Linked DNA regions of Oreochromis niloticus. The protein of the gene in region 2 interacts with the protein of the main gene of each other region in a pairwise test. Links are inferred from orthologs where the notes say so. Each region holds a gene or a part of one and is shown on either strand. Other genes may lie near its edges.

The links.
Region 1: the proteins of abl interactor 2 (region 2) and kifc3 interact in binary tests that used the Homo sapiens proteins (3 or more experiments, as listed by UniProt). The link is inferred for Oreochromis niloticus from reciprocal best matches to the Homo sapiens genes ABI2 and KIFC3.
Region 3: the proteins of abl interactor 2 (region 2) and dtnbb interact in binary tests that used the Homo sapiens proteins (3 or more experiments, as listed by UniProt). The link is inferred for Oreochromis niloticus from reciprocal best matches to the Homo sapiens genes ABI2 and DTNB.

The regions. Positions count from the first base shown.
Region 1 is NC_031965.2:37,984,709-37,991,817, forward strand, and holds the start of kifc3 (kinesin-like protein KIFC3), read right to left. Parts: upstream 3,669-7,109; 5' UTR 3,378-3,668; coding exon 3,126-3,377; intron 5-3,125; exon of another isoform or gene 1-4. UniProt on the Homo sapiens protein: Minus-end microtubule-dependent motor protein. Involved in apically targeted transport. Required for zonula adherens maintenance.
Region 2 is NC_031987.2:29,359,369-29,366,477, reverse strand, and holds the start of abl interactor 2, read right to left. Parts: upstream 4,752-7,109; 5' UTR 4,726-4,751; coding exon 4,609-4,725; intron 1-4,608. Other genes in the region: transmembrane protein 237A, read right to left, coding at 5,571-5,638, 6,289-6,410, 7,084-7,109. UniProt on the Homo sapiens protein: Regulator of actin cytoskeleton dynamics underlying cell motility and adhesion. Functions as a component of the WAVE complex, which activates actin nucleating machinery Arp2/3 to drive lamellipodia formation.
Region 3 is NC_031983.2:18,630,616-18,637,724, forward strand, and holds the start of dtnbb (dystrobrevin, beta b), read right to left. Parts: upstream 4,638-7,109; 5' UTR 4,419-4,637; intron 2,191-4,418; 5' UTR 2,145-2,190; intron 192-2,144; 5' UTR 191-191; coding exon 124-190; intron 1-123.

The DNA.
Region 1 (7,109 bases), on a different chromosome or scaffold from region 2:
ACACACTCACTGCTTCCTCCCTCCGTTTCCTTAGCAACAGCACAGCAGCATCACACCTCCTGTAGCCCCTCCTCCTCCTCACTCCATCCCAGCAGCGGATGAATATTTCAGCCTCCACTGAAGCGAGAGCGGCTGCTCCTCCCCCACCTCAAATATTCAGCACTGTGTGTACTCGTATTACTCAGATTGTGGGGACGTGAAGTTTACAGTTAAGATGCGAGGACTCCACAATGCACACGGTTAGCTTTACGTGAGGGGAAGGTGATGGTTTCAGCTAAAGAAAATAAATCATGCTTTTAAGTTTCTTTTATTAAATGTATTAGATGAAGTTTGTCTAACTGATGTCAAATGAGGGTTGTTTTTTTTTTTTTTTTAAGTCATTCTCATCTTAAACTGTAAAATCTTTAGTTATTTTTTATTCCACTAACACATTACACACCCTGTTTGTGCCTTTCTGCACCTTAATTGTAACCAACTGGCATAAAGTATAATCTTTGGGGAACTTTTATTTTAATTTTTGCAGAATATGTTATACAAACTTCTGGGGAAATGAAGCTTGTCCTGTCCTGCAGGATGAGCTCACAGATTATACCATCAAAGGATGATGATGAATGTTTGGTTACATAACTGATGTGACCGACGCGCTCGACCCTGAACGCCGTCTCCCTATAAGGAGCCAGAGGATTTCAGACATTTATATCATGTGATTGAATGTCCTGTGACAAACATCAGATTTAACTGGAACCAGCAAACATGAAGCCTCTGAACATCAAAACCTGCATCAACAGGAGCCGCCGGGACCCGTCAGAGTGTTAGAGTTATGGGAAAAACATTTAAAAAGTGACCATATCTGAACAACACTCGTGCCCGCCTGTCCCCGCACATACAGACTACACAAATATGTCTCCTGGGGTTGATTATTACCTGAAGTAAACCAGGGGGACTAAAATAAACGCACAGAGGTAAATGCATGTTCACAAGCAGTTCAAATGACATATTTGCTCCATGCTCTCTAGCGCCTCCGGAGGGTGGGACAGTGAAATCTGAGATCATCCTCACAGTCCGTCCTCTGGCTCAGACTCCACATCTGTCCAGCTGTCAGACTGGTACACACGTCCCGAGCTCATCATTCACGTCCATCTACACAAGTGCAATCAGTTTGCATGACCAGCAGGTGGGGCTGTTTCTGACAGCCGACACATAATTGTTAACTCATACAGGAGCACATACAGGTTCATCACCTGTGAAGTATTTCACACCAGCTTACCTGAGTGTAAAACAAGCGCACTTATAGTTTTAATAGCAGCAAACCGCACAACACCACAAATCTGACAATAAGACCCAAACATGCGTCACAACAGTCCATCACAAAATACACTCAGCAGTAAAAGTTAGCCCTGCTATCATTTTATGGCTATTTCCACAATCAAATAATACCTGTGTTGATATCAGAGCTCCACCAAGTCTGAGTCACTGACCGCGTAAACCCTGCTGAGCTGACCTCTCGTCTCAGACAGGTGATTTTTAAGCCAATCAGAGAGCAGATTTACCTTTGCCTAACAACAGAACTCCCCGTAAAGTTTAATATTTACAACATTTAGTGACATTTTACTGCTGCACTCAGATATGATAACATTTACTGTGCAGCTGTAAACATTCCTCAGTCCGTCAGCAAGTTCAGATAAAAACTGCTGAATCACAGCTTTATGATTATTGAACAACAAAGGGTTGCCTTGTCCTCCCCCGAGGACACGGAAAATAAAATTACCCCACTGTAAGTGAAAGTCCTGCTCTTTAAGCGTTACCCCACAGAAATCACGCGAGTCCCGTCTGTGAATACGTGTCAGGGCCTTCAGTTTGTGTCCGCGTGCAACGAGTCGCTCATTAACGAAAACTGAAGTCTTCACCGAGCAGTCGGCCGGGAGTGTAACTCATACTTTAGGAGCGTTAGTGTGAGAGTTGTATAATCCCTCCATGGACGGGTTTGACCCATGTCTGTTTTACTGTTTGCAGGATTAATCAGGAAATGCAAAGATGAGCGAGACCCGACGCTTCAAAGAAAGGACTCGTTCAATTTTGGTGCCTGCAGGGTTAGAGCCTCAAGCATCCTGTGCTTCACGTTCTCCTCAGTGGGTTTCAAATGTTTAACCTCTAACTGGGCTAACTGGTTAGAAGTGGCTGACTTTTCAAAAATAAGAGCAGCTTGTTCACTAATAAAATCAGTCACTCATGGAGTCGTTCTGTCAGGCTTCTAAATAAATAAATAAATAAATGAATCAGCAAACCGACTTTGCTCTGTGGAAACTTCTGGACAGCAGCAGGATTCAAAGCAGCTCGATAAAAATCACCAAAGTAGATTTCATAAATACTGAAACGTTGAGAACAAAAACACTCCGAGCTCTCATAACTGCCGCTGTGATTTGGGACCATTATGGTTACAGTTTTAACAACATTTACTTCTTTGATTAAAAATAATGACAATCATGTTTATGCGCCATCTTCCTGCACACAGTAGAAATTCAAATTCTGTTTCTACTGTTGGTTCATTTTTTTCCCCCTCATTCAGATTATAGACTGATCACATTTTCATGGAAACAAAATCATAATTTTAAAAAGATTTACTTGTTTAAACGCAGTATTATATTCTATTAGATAACTAATTTGACCAAATTAAAGGTGTAAAAGCTTCAGGCTACAAATGGTCCAGTTCACCTGATGGTCCAGCTGAAGTGAGGCCAACGGAAATAAAGTAAAAATATTTCTACATGCAAACAAATCAGTCTATAACTAGATAAAATAAAGTACTTTAGTTCAAAAACTCATCATGTGACAGTTTTGCAAAGGTCTTAATGCTCATTTTTGTGAAGTCTCTCAGGCTGTACGTCACCTGTTTGATAAATGAAGGGTTCAACTTTACACTCGGAGGTGATTATCAGGGTGAAATCAGGGTGTAAATCCTTAATAAGTGCAAACTCACACTCACCTAAAATGTAACTAAAAGTTCGTATTTCCTTCTAAAATTAGAAGTGCGTCCCCGGTTTCCCAAACTTGTTTTTAAAGTTTTTATGTTTTAATATTTTCAGGAATTAAAACCGCACGCCGTCTGAACCCGACCTCTTCCTCACCTGGACTTGCTTCCTGCTGTTAGGGAGGTTGTGTATGGCCCCTCGCCTCCTCTTCCCCTCAGCTCTGCGGATCATTGATCCATCCACTCGATCCCGGGTCCCGGACACCCCCCAGCACCCGTCGCCTGCGCTCCCATCCTTCAGACGACCTTCCCGTCCCGCGGCCTCAGTGGACCGGTTTTGCTCCGGTTTGTTCCGGTTCTTAATCAGGTTGTGGAGCGTCAGAACCGCCAGGGTGCACAGGACATACATGACCCCTCGCCCCACCCTCAGACTCTAGGGTGCTTCGGGTGGGTGCTTGGTTTCATCACAGGGTTGTTCCAGCCCAGGTGGGAGCTCACAGGTGTCTCGTTTGGGTCCCGCTGAGGTTGACGATCCTCGCTCTAAATGTTTCCTCTAAAAAGGATCAGCTGTTTAAATCCTGCTGTGTTTGTTCACCTCTGTCCCGAACCCCGCCCCGTCAACATCACATCAGATGATAAAAGCTTCTGAACCTTGTCCCGTCCTCCTCACTGCTGTCACGCCAACGGTTATCAAGACGGGTAACCAGAGCCTGCAGCCGCCAGTTTCAGTTTCTCACTGAAACTCAAGACTGTGCAAACGCCTCCTGCTCTGAAGCGAGGCTGCAGAGGCGTGCAGCAAAAACAAAAATCCCCACATAAGAGAAAAGTGATTCGAAGTGCAACACGGACGCAGAGCAAGATGCAAAGTTTCAGCAGAGTTTTCCCTGGAGTGATATTCTGACCTTGAGGTCCACTGCAAGAAAAAAAAAAACCAAAGTTTGTTCTGCAGACCTGCAGGAAAAGCACGAATCCAGCTCCTGCGTGGAGTCAGAGAACTTCTCCTCACAGAGTTTGTGGATGAGCAGCAGGTGCAGGAAACTGTTTCCTCTGTGGCAGGTCGGGTCTTCCCCTCCATCAGACTGAGTGGATCAGAGAAAGAGCTCGAGGGGCCTCCTCTCCTCCCTCCCTCTGTCCCGGGACCATCTGTTGTTATTGCTGCAGGATAAAACTGCAGAGGATCGCCGGTGACGTAACAGCACGACACTAAACGATGGATTTATGTTAATATCTTCAGGATGAGCTACGTGCCGGTTTTCACGTTTAATAACAGTCAGGATTACTTCCAGTTCTTTGATCACTGATCCGTTTGTAGTCACTGCTTAAACTGATCACATCTCTGTAACTTTCACTTTACTGGAGCACTTTTATTCAATAAAGAGACCGTAGAAATACAGAGTACAGTAAACATGACTGCAGCACACTGGTCATAAAAATCTGTAAAGGCTGATTTTTAGAGTGAAGAAAAGCCTTTTATTTTGGAAAGTGCTGTCCCAACTATAATTTTAGATGAGAGAAGACTTTTATTTTGACAGCAGTGATGTTCTAGTTGGTAGAATAGTCCAGAAAAGTTTAGACTTCAGTCTTTTCAAAATTTAAGTATAATTTTAGATCAGAACAAGCGTTTATTTTGGTGACAGGGACAATCTGATTGACATTACAGTCTCATTTTGAATGTGCAGATTGGAAAATCATTAAAGGCTTTTATTGTGGAAACAGTGACCTGCTCATTGTGCCTCATCTACTTTCCCAAAGGCTTTTATTTTGGTAAAGTGAAGGGTTTTAGGTCAGAGTGACCTCTTTCTTTCATGTCGTGGGGATGTCGACCACCTCTCCTAAATAGGTGACATATGTGACAGAGCCGGGCATGCTGGGACTTTGACCCAGTGGGAGCTGACGGTCTGAATCACAGCCACTCAATCCTGACGCTCGCCTCTGATTGGTTGCAGACCTTGCTGCATATAGCAGCGATCCGTCCTGCAGCTCACTGTAAACAGAGCCGGGACAGTTTCTGGAAACGTTCCTGCAAGAACAAAAGGGGGACGTTTCCGGTCCACCGACCCCTTTCAGGACGCTAACGAGGTGAGGGCGGGGCTGCGGTCCAAACTCAGGGTCACACGTTAGAAAAATCTCACGAGGAAGGTCCAGGGGTCATCGAAGAGTTTCCAGAGATCTCAGAGATTTTTAACAGTTCCTGCAGAAGTTCAATGAGCCAAGGAAGACTTTAGTTTTAATTTCTAAAGGTCCAAACGTGCTCCTCAAACACGCAGCGGTTTATTCTACAGCTGATGGTAAACAATAAAGAATGAGGACAGAAGGGGGTCGACTGTTAACGAGGGAGCATGGGAAAACATGCACTCTTAAATTCCGTCCTCACATTTATTTGTAAATTTAGATCAATCCCACTCAGATTTAAGACATTTTTATCGGCTTCGTTACTTTCACGACTGTTTTCTTGTAAATTCAGTTTTTTTTCCCGATCAGTAGTTTTATTTTAAACTCACAGCAGCTCCAAAACAATTTTCTAGCGAGTGTTAGTTAGAAAATCAGTGGATTTTCTTCCTTGTACATTTGTAGTTTTTAAATCTCAGACTTTAAAAAACAAAAACAAAAAACACTGAACTGATTTATTATTTTACCCACAAGGGCTCTAATGCAGAATCTAATATCTGCTCTGTTTTAATTCAATTCAGTTTTATTTACACAGCGCCAAATCACAACAACAGCCGCCTCAAGGTGCTTTGTATTGTAAGGTAGACCCTACAATAATACATACAGAGAAAAGCCCAACAATCATATGACCCCCTATGAGCAAGCACTTTGGTGACAGTGGGAAGGAAAAACTCCCTTTGAACAGGAAGAAACCTCCAGCAGAACCAGGCTCAGGGAGGGGCGGGGCCATCTGCTGTGATTGGTTGAGGTGAGAGAAGACAGGATAAAGACATGCTGTGGAAGAGAGACAGCCTTTCATAGACTTTGATCGACTACGGCTGCTTCAAAGTGGCACGACGACAGTCATCCATGCTGGCTTCCTGACCTGAGCTGTTTGGCGCCTCCTTCCACCAATCACTGAGCTCCGCAGTAAATCAGAATAAATTGCCACTCCGTCAGCAGACAACTGTAACACCTGCTTGAAAGCCAGTTTTTATTCTCTAGCTTTAAACCAGGCTGACTGCTGTTATTGGTATCTTCTTTTATGTTTTTTTATTGTGATTAAATTGTGCTCAGACTGGGACTGTGTGTTAGAGATGAGCGGATTTTCCTTTAGCCGTTTTCTCTAAACTTCAGTCAGAGCCCGAGGAAGAAAATGATGCGTTGCAGAAACAAGAGAAAACTACAGAACGAGATCCCAGCCTGAAACCACTTCCTGTTCTCGAGGTGACCTGAACGCGGCATCAAATAATAACTGATCAAATCAGAGGTATAAAGGCTTCCAGAGAAAGCGGGCTGTGGCAAGTTAATGACCTCAACACGGAGAGGAGTGTCAGTTATCAGATCAGACTCGCCTTTATTATTAGGAACACACACACACACACACACACACACACACACACACACACACACACACACACGCGATGGAAAATGTTTACACACCAAACTGCTGCAACATGATCAGCTGATTAGATAAATGTGGATAAATAACCCGGTGTTTCATTCTCACACCCTCCCTCCACATGAACCTCAGACTTCATGTTTATATCAAGTGAATCACAGAGGAATGTTTACAGATAACAAGGTCAGACTGAGAGGATTCACATGTGTTGTTACTGTGTTTGTCCTGTGGGGGGCAGTGCAGGCATGTGTTCATGTCTCAGGTGTGTTGGTGACTGTAAGAAGCTCAGACCTGCTGCAGATTACCGGAAACCTGCTGCTTTTATTTGAGGAGCTTTTTCCTTTGGAGGGTCATCTGCCCGTCACAGACTTTTAAATTCAGCTTAAAATAATAACGTTTGTTTGGTTTTTGTTTTTGGGGACATTTAGTTTGATATTTTCTTGAAGACATCAGATGAAACCTCAGTTAGTATTTAAAAGAAGACATTTTTGTGACAACTTTGAAGCACATCTGTCCAGAAATCTCAGAGTAGCCCCCACAAACACAGCTGAACCAATCACATCAATCCTTCAGCAAAGTTTTTTTAATAAA
Region 2 (7,109 bases):
GATCACAAACCCATCTTTCCAAATGTTCAGCGTGTTTCGCCCCCGCAGGAGCTGTTCCTGGCATCAGTAATGAAAGTGGAGGCTGATGCACCAATTGCCATGGTTTTCAACCCAAAACACACACACACACACACACACACACACACACACACGACCAGAGTATATGTCCAGCTTCCTGCAGCGCTACCATGTGTTTTCAATGAGCAGCAGGAGGTCGAGTTACATTACAACTACCTCTGCTGACAGCTAACCGGTACCAGCTGTGGAGAACCCTGAAGGAACAAAACAGGACAGGACTGTAGTCGGGGCAAGGGGGAGAAACGTGTCTGCACATGCTCAGTTCAGGCTCGTTCAGATTCTGTGCTGAAGGTGCTAAACAACTACACATTTTGCAATTTATCTGAAAAAAAGAAAAGTAGTAAAGACCTGCTTTGCTGCTTTTTTCCTCACCATTTTTCATCATTTTCTCTAATATCTTTTCCTTTGTGTTACAGTAAATATTCCAACAGACTTATTGTAAAAAAGAAAGCAGCTATTTAAGGCTCTAACTTTCTAGAGTGCAGCTTCAATTTATCTCAGTTTACAAACCTACAGCACTAAGGAGGAGGATGTGTGGGTGGTGTTATATTGAAAACCGGGTCTCCAGCATCTTTGGAAGAGGCAGGAACAGTCATCTCTGTTTTTTTTTCCCTGACAAAGCTAGGAGTCTGGATGGCTGTTTGAAGCATGAACATCTAAAGTAGGAGAGACCATTTCCCTGATTAAAAACTGACCACGTTAATGATCAATAATGATCATTATTATTGATCACAAGAACAGCAAAGATTACTTTTCCCCGATTATTAAAAGTTGCCAATAACTTAAAACTCCAGCGAAAATGTGTAATTGAAATGCTGTATTATTTAAGGATGCCACATGCATGGCAGCAGAGCATTAAGATCTGCACCACCTGCAAAGCTGTCATCATTTTACACATTCTAGTAGTCCCACACAGCTGTGGGCAGTCAGAACAAGAGGCTTCAACAGAGCAGAGCATTAAAATCCACTTTAATTATCACTTTGAGCAGAGGCAGAACAGGAAAGTCAGCACACAAGCTCAGCTCCTGCTGTTTGTGTCTCCTGACATCAGCCTGATATCTGCAGACAGCTGTTAGAAACTCGGCGCATACAGGCAGACTCGATAGTCCCATACTCCTCCTACTTTGCCTCTTCCAAACATAGTTTTGTTAATAAACACAACTAATGACCAGTTTGCAACTGGTTCACATAAGAGATATTCTCAGACTACATTTGTAATGGAAATCTGTTTTTATACCACATAACAGATTACAAGGTCTTGAATAATCAGGCCCCATTTTATGTTAAAGACCTCATAGTACCCCGTCAGAGCATTTTGCCATCAGACTACTGGCTCAGTTGTGGTGCCTAGGATATTTAAAAGTAGAATGGGAGACAGAGCCTTCAGCTTTCCTTTCTGATTAAGCATAAAGTTAGAGCTGGATGAGGTGACCCTGAATCCTCTCTTAGTAACTTTTAAATAGGCCTAGGCTGCTGTGGGGGCTTCCCATAATGCACTGAGTGTTTTGTCTTCATTCACCTCTTTTCACGCTCTCCGTTTTTATACACCTCTCTGCATTTAGTCATTAATTATTATTAATCTCTGGCTCGCCTCCACAGTGTGTCTTTTGTCTCGTCTCCCTCCCTTCACCTCCAACCAATCGCAGCAGATGGCTGCCCCACCCTGAGCCTGGTTCTGCTGGAGGTTTCTTCCTGTTAAAAGACAGTTTTCCCTTTTCACTGTTGCCAAGTGTTTGCTCACAGGTGTTTGTCTGCTTGTTGGGATTGCACAAAATAAAATGGGAAGGAGCCCTTGTCCTCCCCACTTCCAGGAAGCCTTTATTTAATGCTCAAAACTGACCACACCCATGTTCAAAGCCAGCATTCATTTTGATGTCAACCACAGACGTGCAAAGCTTCATGACTGTATCTTGTACAGTTGCAACATTATGTTATTGAAAATCTCTGTTCACAGAAAACAAATAAACACTCAGAGCACCTTGATGCAGGTAAGGAAATCAACTTTCTGGGAATGCAAAAGTAAAAGAATAAAGACACTCTGTAACCCCCCCCACCCCCCCCACCCCCACCCCTTAAAAAGCACTAGACTGTTTTAAATCTGAATTTGGACCACAATGATGCCAGGATGTGGCCACATAAGACCAACAACAACTTGACCCGGGTCAACTCTGAATCCAAATATTTAGCCCATAAAACAGGATCAGCACACTGCGCTATTATGTAACAATCACATCATCTGCTGGCTGCATAAATGTAGGCCATCCTCTGGGTACTGAGTTAGCCATGCTAGGCTCAATCTGAACATGCAGTGTGAGCAGTCTAACGAGCTAAAAAAGACTTTCAGTTTTCCTGAGAAGATGACATGTTACTGCTGATGTGACTGCTAAAAATGAGAAAGCTAATGCCAAGCTAGTACTGTGTGAAAACAGACTGAGAATTTCAGAGAAATAAAAAGGTCAAAGGTTATAAAGGAAAGAAGAAATAGAGAGGAGAAGGAATAAAAGAGGGGAAAAAGAAAGCGCCCTTGTGGAATTCATCATGTGTAGATGTGCAGAACAAGATTTCACTGTGTCGGTCTGCTGTGACGCATCATGTAGCGCCTGTGTGCTTCTGGCCTTTAAAGAAGAAAGACTGTTGATGCACTTTCACTTGTTGACTGACAGTAAGACTCACACAAACACACGAATCTAAATGAAATGTGGCGATGAACAGGTGTGTCTACAGAGCCAGCTGAGGAAGAACAGTTGTCCGTAACAGCCTTGTCTGCCCACGTACACTCACACACTCTCCGATAAGCAAGCACGGGGGTGGAGGGATGGCAGCCCAGTACAGATACTGGTGTCTAACTCACATTCTCAAGAAGCCATCAGTGGATAAGCTGAGTGTTAATTTAACACTAAATTCAAGGGGCTGTATTATGCCCGTGACAAATGACTGTGCTATAATACAACAGCTTCAAGTAAGTCGCAGTTGAAAATTGCCGTATGTGCAGTTTTAGATCCAACCTTTGCTTGTCACGTCCGGTTTTAATGACATGACAAACATTACGTTTGGGGGAAAAAACCCATCAGCTTGAAGATTCAAAAACAGGACTTCACAAACCAACAGCTGGCGTAATGGTGGCTACGTCCATCTTTTAGACCATCTATGGTTTGAAAAGCAGGTGGTGGGCCTTATGTGCTTACAGCCAGAAACAAAAAGTTTGGTTCAGCGTGCAGAGCAGAAACAGTGTCAGATAGAAACAGTGTACAAAGTATGTGATAGAACAGGTCGTGGTGTTGTTGGTCCATTTGCCAGCCACAGAGAAGATCCACTCTTGTCCCCTTCCCTTCCATATGCCCACTTGACGCATACGTCATCCGGTTCCACCAATGATGGAAAGAGCAATGAGTGCAAACCCCTTTTCCTCCATGTCATATTTGCATAAATTAGCCAGAGTTGTGAGCCTGACATGACCATATTAGGGATCTCCGCTGTCACTGACGTCATACAGAGCCAAGAGGAGAAGAAAGTGTCTGAAACTGAGCATTTAGACCACTTTGTTTTGGTTCACAGGAATAACTTGACCTCATGGTCTGAAACTTTGGCCATGTTAATATGAGCATCAACCACTGTAACAGCATAAAAAAGAAAAGCACAATTTGTATCAAAGAAAAGCTGTCAGCTATCAGCGATGATATTAATCATTAGCTGCATCTTCAAGGACAAACGGAATCTATAAAGGATCTATACTAAAGATTAATCTGATACATTTATTTGTCATAACAGCCGTATTTGCCACCTTGATGGCAATTTGAAACAATGTTTTTACTAGATACTGAAGACTTTAGATCAGGACTGAAACTAACAATTATCTTCAAATTTCCCTAATTCTGCCGGTTATCATTTGATGAAAATAAATAAATAAAAACAAACTGTTTATAGAATAGCAGTAAAAGTAAATCATAAATCTCAGCAGCGATTTACAGTGCAAGTTATCGGCCACAATCACATACCAGTTAAGTGTCGCGCCAGACTCCCATTAACGCATCTCTGCTCAAGCGATTGCCTGCTTACATAAACATCACAAACTTTGCAAGAGACATTTTACTAGAAAAACGCAACTCGACAATTAATTCGGCACCCATTCAGTGAACATATTCAAACTTATTTCGGTTAAAGCAAACTTTTAAAACTAACCCAAATCCACCCATCACATTCCCACAGAGTCACGCTCCATCAGAAAACAACACGGTGCTGCGCAAACCACTTACAAAAGTTGATTTTTCACTAGTAAAGATGTGTTTGAGGATATTTTTCAAAAAACCGAATTGACCCCGACACCCTTCGTATTCAGGCATCAGCGGGTCAGTGTTTGTATTGAATTCGCTGTGACTTTTCCCCTTTACATAAAAACCACGGGTAACATAACGGAATCTGGCACGGTCATTCCATCACTCCTCTATCCAAACCGCCTACTCCCAACTGACATTACCTCGATATGTCATTTCACCCAACTTATACACTTGCTGTTTAAATATGAGCATGTACCTGGACATAGTTGCTTTCGCAGTACTCCGCGACTCTTTCCAGGTTGGTAAAACTGTCCAACAACGCTCTTCGTCCCGCAGGAATTTCCTCCTCCAGCAGCATCTGCAGCTCCGCCATCTTTACATGGCTTTTACTACACGGCTGCAGCGCGCGCTGAATGGATGGATCCTAGCGCCTTCAGGGGCTGTGCGGAAATGTCAATACTGTGATGGCATGAAGAAAAGTGGGAGAGTGGGAGTGCTCTGAGGGACTACCAGGCACAAGTGTAGAGCCCACTGTCGTAAGGTGGGGCCACGATATTGTTTCGTTTGACTGTTTAACCTTCTTTTTTAGGGAATGTTAATCAAAGTCACGCAAAAACATCTCGGAAACGACTACAAACTGTTATGAAATACACGCAGGAGGTGATGCAAATGATGAAGGTAAAAGAGGCAAATAGAGCTCAGAAATATTACAATTACTTAGAAAACTGCTACAAACAAACAAGGCACACAAAATGACAAATGACATCAAACGGATACACAAAAGGAGACACATCCAAGTACATGCAAAGCGACTTCCCAATTACAACACACAGCATAAAAAATTGCTGTTGTGTATAAAAATTGTTACAGGCAAAATGGGTAAAATGACCACAAACAGAAAACACACAAAGACACAAAAACTGCAAAGTGATGAAAACACAACAGACACACAAAATGACTTCACAGACAAAACTGCTAAAAGGTGCAAACGACCATAAGCAAAAATAGAGGAATGAAAATAATACATACAACATTTACAAGTGGAGTACAAACACCAGAAAGTATTTTATGCTCTTCTGGCACTTATTCCTCTGCAGAAGTATCAACCACCTATTACCATATAGCCTTTATTAGTTTATTTGCAAAATCAGCTCAAACACAAAGCTACATTATACAAAAACATAAACAGACTTGGAGACAAAGAAAGAGAGAGAGGTTTCAGGCCGGAATGTCCAGGTTCTCATCTCCTCTCGGGTATCCCTCCACTTCCATTGTCATCAAAAACTCTGCAAAAGGAAATCCAGACCATCAGCTTACATTTCTACAAAGCACACACACGCTGGCTTGCTGACATGTGAATGTCTGCCATTTGCTTTTAGGGTTTGAACATGTTTCACTTTGCTTCTATCTAGTGGTGACATAAAGAATGACACCAGGAACACAGCAATGCATCAAAAGTATTACTTTTATACTATATACAGCTACATTTAAATTAAAAAAAAGTGATGTGTCATTAATCCTTCAGACTACCTGGTGTATTTGGAGTCCAGGAGACTCCATGTGCGTGTGCTGTGTGGCCAAAACCTTGCAAATCCTACAGAAGCCTTTTACGATTTCTGTTATTGTAGTTTTATTACCACTTTTTCATTTTATTTCACTGTTTCCACAGGATGTGAAGTATCATTAACGTTTCCTGTTTGCTCAAGAAGGTGTCCCCAAAGTTAAGTAACATCCCTCTGTGTGATCTTTACATTTCATTTTCTATAAAAAAAGTTTTTGAAGCTTAAAAGGAATACATATTTGTTATGAGCAATAGCATATTTTTGTACAAGTAATGCAAAAGACCAGAGAACTGTACTTAACTACATTTGGTTACTTTCCATCACTGGGTGATGGAATGTCCAAGTCATATCAGGTTAGTTTTAGCTAAACTTGCCTTCTGTGTAGTCGATGTCTGGTCGTGTGGAGACGACGGCCCAGGCCAGGCCCACTGATAGCGCCACCACCAGGTTCACTACAATCCACGGCCGCAGGATCTGCTGCTCTGAACCAGGAGGCCTGCAGGACATGAGAGGTTAAACAGCAGTTATTAATTTACCATTCCATGTCAAGATTGAGTCCTCAGGAGGGTTTTCCAACCATGGTAAGGAGAAAATAGCAGAACTCTGAGATTCTCCAAGTTAAGTTTAATAAAAGAAATGCATTAGCCTCTTAAAAGTCTTTGGCAATGGTACCTCAGGTCTCAGTGTTGTTAAAAGGAAGATGTTCCTTTTATGTGGAAATGTGTGAATGTTTTCTGGATACTTTTGGTTTTCAAATGTTTTGTTTTTAAATTTGCCAAACAATTGAAATGTAAGTATTACTCAATATATAGAAAGATATTCAAATTAGTTTCATCATGGGAAAAAACCAACATGTGACTACAATTGCCTGAATAAGGGTTACACTTTTGGTAAAAATCAACTTCTTATACATGGTTAGTGTTCTACTAGAACCACAGAAATATTAATAAGTATTAATAAGTATTGTATAATGTAAAACACCTGCTTTTAAACCATCCTGCATTAGATATTTCCTTTTAGCCCTTTAAGCTCCTATCAGTTTTTAAATTCAGTTGCCATGTCAACCTTGAACTTGTTGTGGAAAGAATTGCTTTCATCTGTTTTTCTCTTTACTTTTCCAAGATCACGCTAAAAATGCTGACTTATAAAAATGAAAACAAAAATCTCACCACAGAGTCTCGTTGGCAGTGGGATA
Region 3 (7,109 bases), on a different chromosome or scaffold from region 2:
TTTTGAATGTTTATTTAATCAATGATACGCTCTGTGTGGGAGGAATTACACGTGAGGGACCATGCATGTTTGTGCATTACATGAGATAGCGAAAAGACATCTCTCACAGTCGACTCCACTCACTCATTTCCATGAAGAGCTGTCTCTTCTCCACCATGGCCTTGCCTCGTTTACTGCCTTCCTCGATCATTCTGTGGCACATCAAACACCAGTGCATGCAGCACTTACTCTTACTGCGCTTACTGCACAGCAGCATGGTAATAAATGCAACACACAACTCATTTCAGTGTCAAAAGTCATAGAGATAGGACTAAGAAGGATTCGAATGAACTACACGTCTTGCATACAACTAAAGAAAATGCAGATATATACAGGACAGATAGATGATTTTTGTGGATAAAACGGAATAGAAAAAGATCTGGTGTTCAAGTCTAAATTACTTTTACCAGTAGAGGACACACAGTAAGTGATCCATTATGTGGCTATAATGAATTATTGAAACACTCAGATGAACCCTTGAATAGGGCTGTACCAGCAGAAAGTTTGCAATTTCCCCTCTGCACCAAGGACAGCGTTAGTCATCAATATAACCTTGGTCAACTATATAGATGATTTTGCTTTGAAATTTCACTTGTTTATTGCTATTACTGAGAAGGGACAGAAAACTGAAAAGAAATTACATATACATTATACTGAGAGTGTGCTTGGTAAAAGAATAGCCGTGTCAGAACGGTGACTTTTATTAAAAGGAAGAGTTTAACACTGTCAGAATAATGTTACTTCTTTCATTGGGTATTTAAGGAAAAATTAAAAAAAAATCCTTTCACATTTGTAGGTTTAATATGAAGCTACAATCAGGTGCCAAATAGCTTAGCTTAGTATAAAGATTTGAAAATGTGGAAATGGTTTGCTCTCCAGCTTCTAAAACTCACTAATTACCAGAATATGTTGTAGTTTAGGGTGGGTTGCATATGGGATATTTATATATAGTATTCCAGTATTTCTGCATAGCCAGTTTTACCAGTTTATGGCTATACTAGCTTACCAATGTAAGAATGGTATAGATCACTTATGTGATCTAACTCTTGGGGGAAGTGGAAATAACTAGAGATGCGCCAACTGACCAACAAGAGACCAGAATCAGCTGATTTCCAGTGTTCTTTGCCCAGACAGGTGACCGGCCAGTCAGCCTCATGTACATATATGGCTTATTATGGGCCAGACCACAATGGCATAGGCAAACAGTCATATGCTAGCATCTTAATGGGTGAAGACACAAACCTTGCCAAAATAAATCACCACAAAATGGAACAACAATTTTAATAAGACACTTAAATCCCCCTCACCAAGCTGAACATGGATATTTTAAAAAGGCAGCAAAGGCAAAATGGCTAAAGCTAAAGCTATCAGTATCAGGCTCGGTATGAGCAATGAAAGAGTAAGTGTAACTTACTGCAGTTTGGCAAAATTATTAAATCTTATCAATTCTTTACTAGTGAAAATAAAATTTTGCATTAAAGAAAAGTATGCTGTCTATTGCAGTTCTTCGAAAGAGAATCTCAAGAAGCCAAGGAAATTGCACTCTCTACAAATCTTTTAAAATATGACGACAAAATCTATTTAGCTCTAAACTCATGAGCACGTAAATAAGATTAAAAATATTTCTCAATGCCCCCAAATAATTATCTGATACCAAAGAAGAGCTGCCTATTGAACATCTTTAACTGTTGTTGCCTGATTCAACTTCACTGTTGACTCTGTTGTGCATTTTCAAACAGGATTCACTGCTGGTGTGTGTTTTTCCTCAGCTCAGCAGGGAAAGAAAAGCCCCCTTTGAAACAACACAGGCTTCATTACTTCATTCACTTCTTTCTCTGTACTATTTTTCAAAAGCGTCTCCATGGCTTTTAATGTTGTGATTCCAGTCACTTCTTTACAGTGTCACTTCTCTCAAACACATTTTAATTTACCGTTACCACCAATTGTTTTGGACTTGTTTTCTTATCTGACAAAAATAATTTACCGTGAAGACAATTTGCACATGGACACCGTATCCTTTCCTGCTTACCAAGCGCTTATATGAAATGCTTTACATGTGACATATTATATACACACTGATTCTCACTGATTTTAAAAGTACTTACCTGCCGCACACTGTATGTCAACAAAGTGAAGCCCTAAACGTTGACCCTGTAAAGAAAAACAAATTGAAAAAGGTCAGCGAGGGTGTCTTGATATTGACTCGACGCCACCATTACTACGAGAGATGAGCTATTCCACGCTGACAAAATGTAGTAGACTTTTAAATAAGTAATTAACGCCTCCCTTGTCTACCTCCTTCAAGGACTTATTAACTCTCACTTTGTGCTTTTGTTAAACCCTCCCATCGCCTCCTGTAGAGATACTGGTGAGCCAGCTAGGGAGCACTCCAGTGCCTGTGGTCTGTGCAAATGATAATTCTCTATGACATCCCGCTCAGCAGTGACTGCATCCTGTGGGCTAATGACACCAACTGAGCTGCAAAGGAACCACTTAATGATGACGGACACAGAGCACATTAGGGATAGCCAATAAGCGATCAGCACTGGGTGTCCCTGGGACCAAGGACTCAAGAGTATCCCAAACATGTTTAGATTACTTATTCTCATGGTGAATTGAGGGCGTTCAGCTGATCAGCAAACCATAGAAGCCAAGGTTCGAAGTGTGTAGACAAGAAGCCCCCCCCACCCCACCCCTTTTTATTTTGCTTTCACTTCTATCCAACCTTGTTTTACACAGACTGATCTCTAGTGTTATGACAGAGCCTATTTCCAGTCACAAACTTGCACCTCTCCCTTGTCTTGAACATTTCTCCGTGCTGCTTACAAGAGCCAGCAAAGATTTTTAAAGGGGACGTTTCATTGAAATTAAGTTTTAAATAATAGATATTAATATAATAAGAGCCACATCTAAAGACTATTCTCAACATCAAACAATCTGCTGATATTTTTCTCAAATGTTCAATCAATATTTTTGCCATACGACAGCTTTGGGTGATATCTTTAACTACAGCCTGGCTTTCTAACAAGCAAAACCTCCCACTTCCTAAACAGCGGGTTGAGTAAAGCAGAAAATCCAGTTGTGGGAATCTGATGTTTGCTTGAAAAACCAAACGAAATGTCAGATTTTTTCCAAATAATTAAATTTTTTGAGCAACTGAATGACTCATCTTCAGCTCTTTGACAACAACCACTCGTTTCACAAGCAGCAATAAACCACTCTGTGCAATAGTCAAAAACCAGCTTCAGTGCTTATAAACACCATCACATGTCTTTGGAGCTGGCACAGCACGGTAGTTTGGATAAAGTTAGACCAATTATATATCATAATTGTGATTCTAAATAGAGAGAAAAAAAAGCTTTGGGGGCATTTTTAGAGCAGATATGTCAAAGAGGCACGACTGCCCTTTGGCGAAATGGTTAAAAAAACATTTGTTATGCAGTGGAAGACCCAGCAGAGACATGTCAGCAAAATATCACAATGGTTCATTGTAAATATTCCCCCTATGAGGTAACTGCTGAAATTCATGAGTATGCAACAAGGGTTGCACACTGGCAGTTCGTGTTCACAGACGTGTAATCGGAGCCTGTAAGCAGATGACAGTTTAACGGTTAAGTTGATTATTTGATGGAAGTTTTTAATAATTCATGCCAAAATAAATTCAGCACATTCAGATCACAGTCGGTGCGATCACTGTTTCACCGGTCCCGATCAATGGGATTTCTAGCTAGTGCCATGTATTCATTTCCCCATAAACAATCACAGGCTCGTAATAATTTGGATGTCAGATGCTTGCAGTGAAGTCAGACTGTGTAGTAATCATCACAGGCCTGGAAAGGTGCATTTTACTGTAACCGCACCTTCAGCTCCAAGGTAATGACAACATCCTTTGACGCGAGTCAACATAAGGACTCGGTTACTGCAGTATCTCTCCGCCGCTGATATCATTCACTTCTCCCTTTCTACGAGCCTTAATTCTAACGCCGAGCAGCACCGCAACACTTAAAAATCACTTCTGAAGCGACGGCAGAGCATCAACGCAGCCATGTTGCTGATTTAACCGCCTATTTACCTTATTTCCGCAGTGGGGAATGTGTGTCGTGATGTCCATACATTTATTTTTTATTTTTTTTAATTTGTATTTTTTTGGTTAACAAACAATGACAATTCTGCATTTCTTCAAATCCTACTGGTGTCTCCACAGCCAAGTAAGATACATGGCGGGGAATTGGCCTTTACCGGAGGAAAATCGCGCAGGTTGTGTTTAGAGCATCATCATCATCGGTGGCAGCAGCAGCAGCATCAGATAGGGAGGATGTAAGTGGCTATGGGCGAATAAGGGGGATATTTCCTCCGTGCTGGACAGCCCCACTTCTCACCTTTAATAAATCCACGCGTTTCCCCCGATGTTAAAGCTGTCCGGGCGATGAGAAACAGCTCGGACCATCCATCGTCGTTTTTCAAGCCCCTCTCCCGTCTCATCCGACTTCAGTCTTCGCAACTGCGGTTGTAGCCGCACACAGAAACGTAGAGGCGCCCCGCTCCACTCGGCATCGTCAGCGACCCAGCGGCAGAGGACAGTAGATACAAGCAGGCACGGAGATGCCATGCGCGACCACCTACTAGTACACTTTACGCATGTGCGCACGCACGCTGGTTAAAGGCGCACTACTATTATTAATACCGCTGTTACTCTGAATTATAATCCCCAATATTATACACTGAACAGGAAAAAGCACAGTATTCATTTAGGCTCATTTAAAGGGATACTGCAGCAGTTTGGGACTTTCATCAAGAGGGGAAAGAAAGAGATGTGATGTTTCTAAAAGACCGGAAAAGTATCATGACTTTCTAGTTGTCTGGAGCACCAAGCTCCATAACTCCTGGGCTCTACATTTCCCATAATGCAGCTCAACAGCGTCATACGACAGCGTTACTGTTCTTTATTCAACAACTGGACTCTTCTGGATAATATACGGACCCCAAATGTTTTTAAATATTAAATTAAATATAGTTTATTTTTTGAAGCTATTTAATGAAAATAATACCCTCGCCCCCTCCCCAACTGTGACCTCGTATAAAACCATGTATCCCTCCTAAGGGCAGAGATCTTTAGGAGACACCCCACCACATTTCTTTTTTACATTTTTCTAAGACAGTCAGGGATAACTCAGTTACAGTAATCAGGGTTTTTATGTCAAACTTTGGAGCAACAGAATTTTTTGTCAGACTGGCCCACAGAGGGGTCGTAATATTATTGTGCTTTTTAAAAAATATATATATAATTATAAATAGTACCAAAGAAAAAAAATACAATAAAATGAAGAAGCAGTCAAAAAAAAGAAACTTTTTCCATTATTATTTATTCATAATATTCTATTACTTTGATAAAATACACTTTGTTTACAAGTTCTGATTACTATATTACATTCACCTGGAGTTTTAAATGGAGACAAAATGACACTGACATTAAAGAAATTCACCTAGTGTCAAACATGACATTAAAAGAAGAAGGGGAAAAAAAGTGGCAATCCCCCCCCCCTCCTTTCCCACCCCCCACTTCTTCAAGCCATTTTCTATATGATGTGCTCTACTCTTCCAAATGCACACACACAGTTAGCCTTAGTATTGATTGGGACTGCTGTTGGACTCATGTTTCAGTCATCATTAACAAAAATTTCAGCTGCCTTTAGGGTTGAGAATGATTGTTCTTAATATTTTTTTGCAGTGCAATCCAGTCCAGCAGGACTCTAACATCACATTCAACCAAATATGACGTAAATAATTAATGGGGGTCAAAAATGAGAATAAAAAAACACATCTGTATCACTAACTCAAACATCACTATGTCATTAATAAGTGAAATTTCTATGCCTTGTGAAAATCCTGCTAGATTCTAGCCCTCAAAAACAACTTTCCACAAGACACAACCACCAAATAAAAATAAAACTATATTAATTGAATGACTTTTTAAATGGTGCATTAAAACATTATCTTTTCATAAAGTGATGATGCAAATAGACAAGTAAAAGCTACACTTTAGACAACATCTTCATCGAAAAATATAGACCAATGGATTCACTAAAAAACCTGGACCATACAGAATATCAGATACCTGGACTATTTGAAAAGTGATTATTCTGCACGGTGGACTGTCCAGCCTAAAAAAAAAAAAAAGACAGCCAATATATTAATATAGTAAATACCCTGTTGATTTGTCAAAAACAATTAGCAAATAGATCTTTTATATTAAAATATATTAATTAAAATATATTACTTTGATTAACTAGTCAGACATTTAAAAACAACTTCTGATTATTTTTTGTTTTCTTTAAGGTGACTTTGGCATACTACCTTGGAAATAATTGCTATAAAAGAGGTCATGTTTTGTACCTCCAGGAGATTCTAAAATATAGTAGATGTGTCAATATTTGTAACCAGCAAAAACACAAAACGTTTGGAGATAACACTTCAAACACAGTGGCCTTTTTACAAGTCAGTACGCACTAAGCACTAATGTTAAAATCATCATAACGGGCCTGCAAAGGTTATAACAAGTGCTGACACCACAAATGTGTTGTGCATCACAAAGACAAATTACTGTTGATTAAATACATATGTGACAAATATCATTTTTACAATACTTCCAACCACAGTATTATAGAGGATCACTCTCTTAATTTCCTGGAAAAAGGCCGCGTTAAAGTGAAGTGTTACACTCACTTATTGATGTATTGGTGACATATTGTACCTGTTTTTAGCATATTTCACTGTTCTTCTCTATTTTCATTCCACAGTAAAAAAAGAAAAAAAAGAAAAACATTTTGAAATAAAGAGCCAGTTATGCTCAAGCAAGGTGTGCAGCACGAATAAAATAACAATATTTCTACATCTAGGCAAATACCATACATGAGCAAGTATATACAGCAAAATAACAAAATTGTCAGCATTTTCTCCCCCCCGCCTTGAGTGTTTAAATTAAGTTTGCCACGGCTGATTTATCTATACAGACACACAAGCATTAGAAATCCCACACCAAGGGAGATCATATCCACAAACCTGATTTTTGG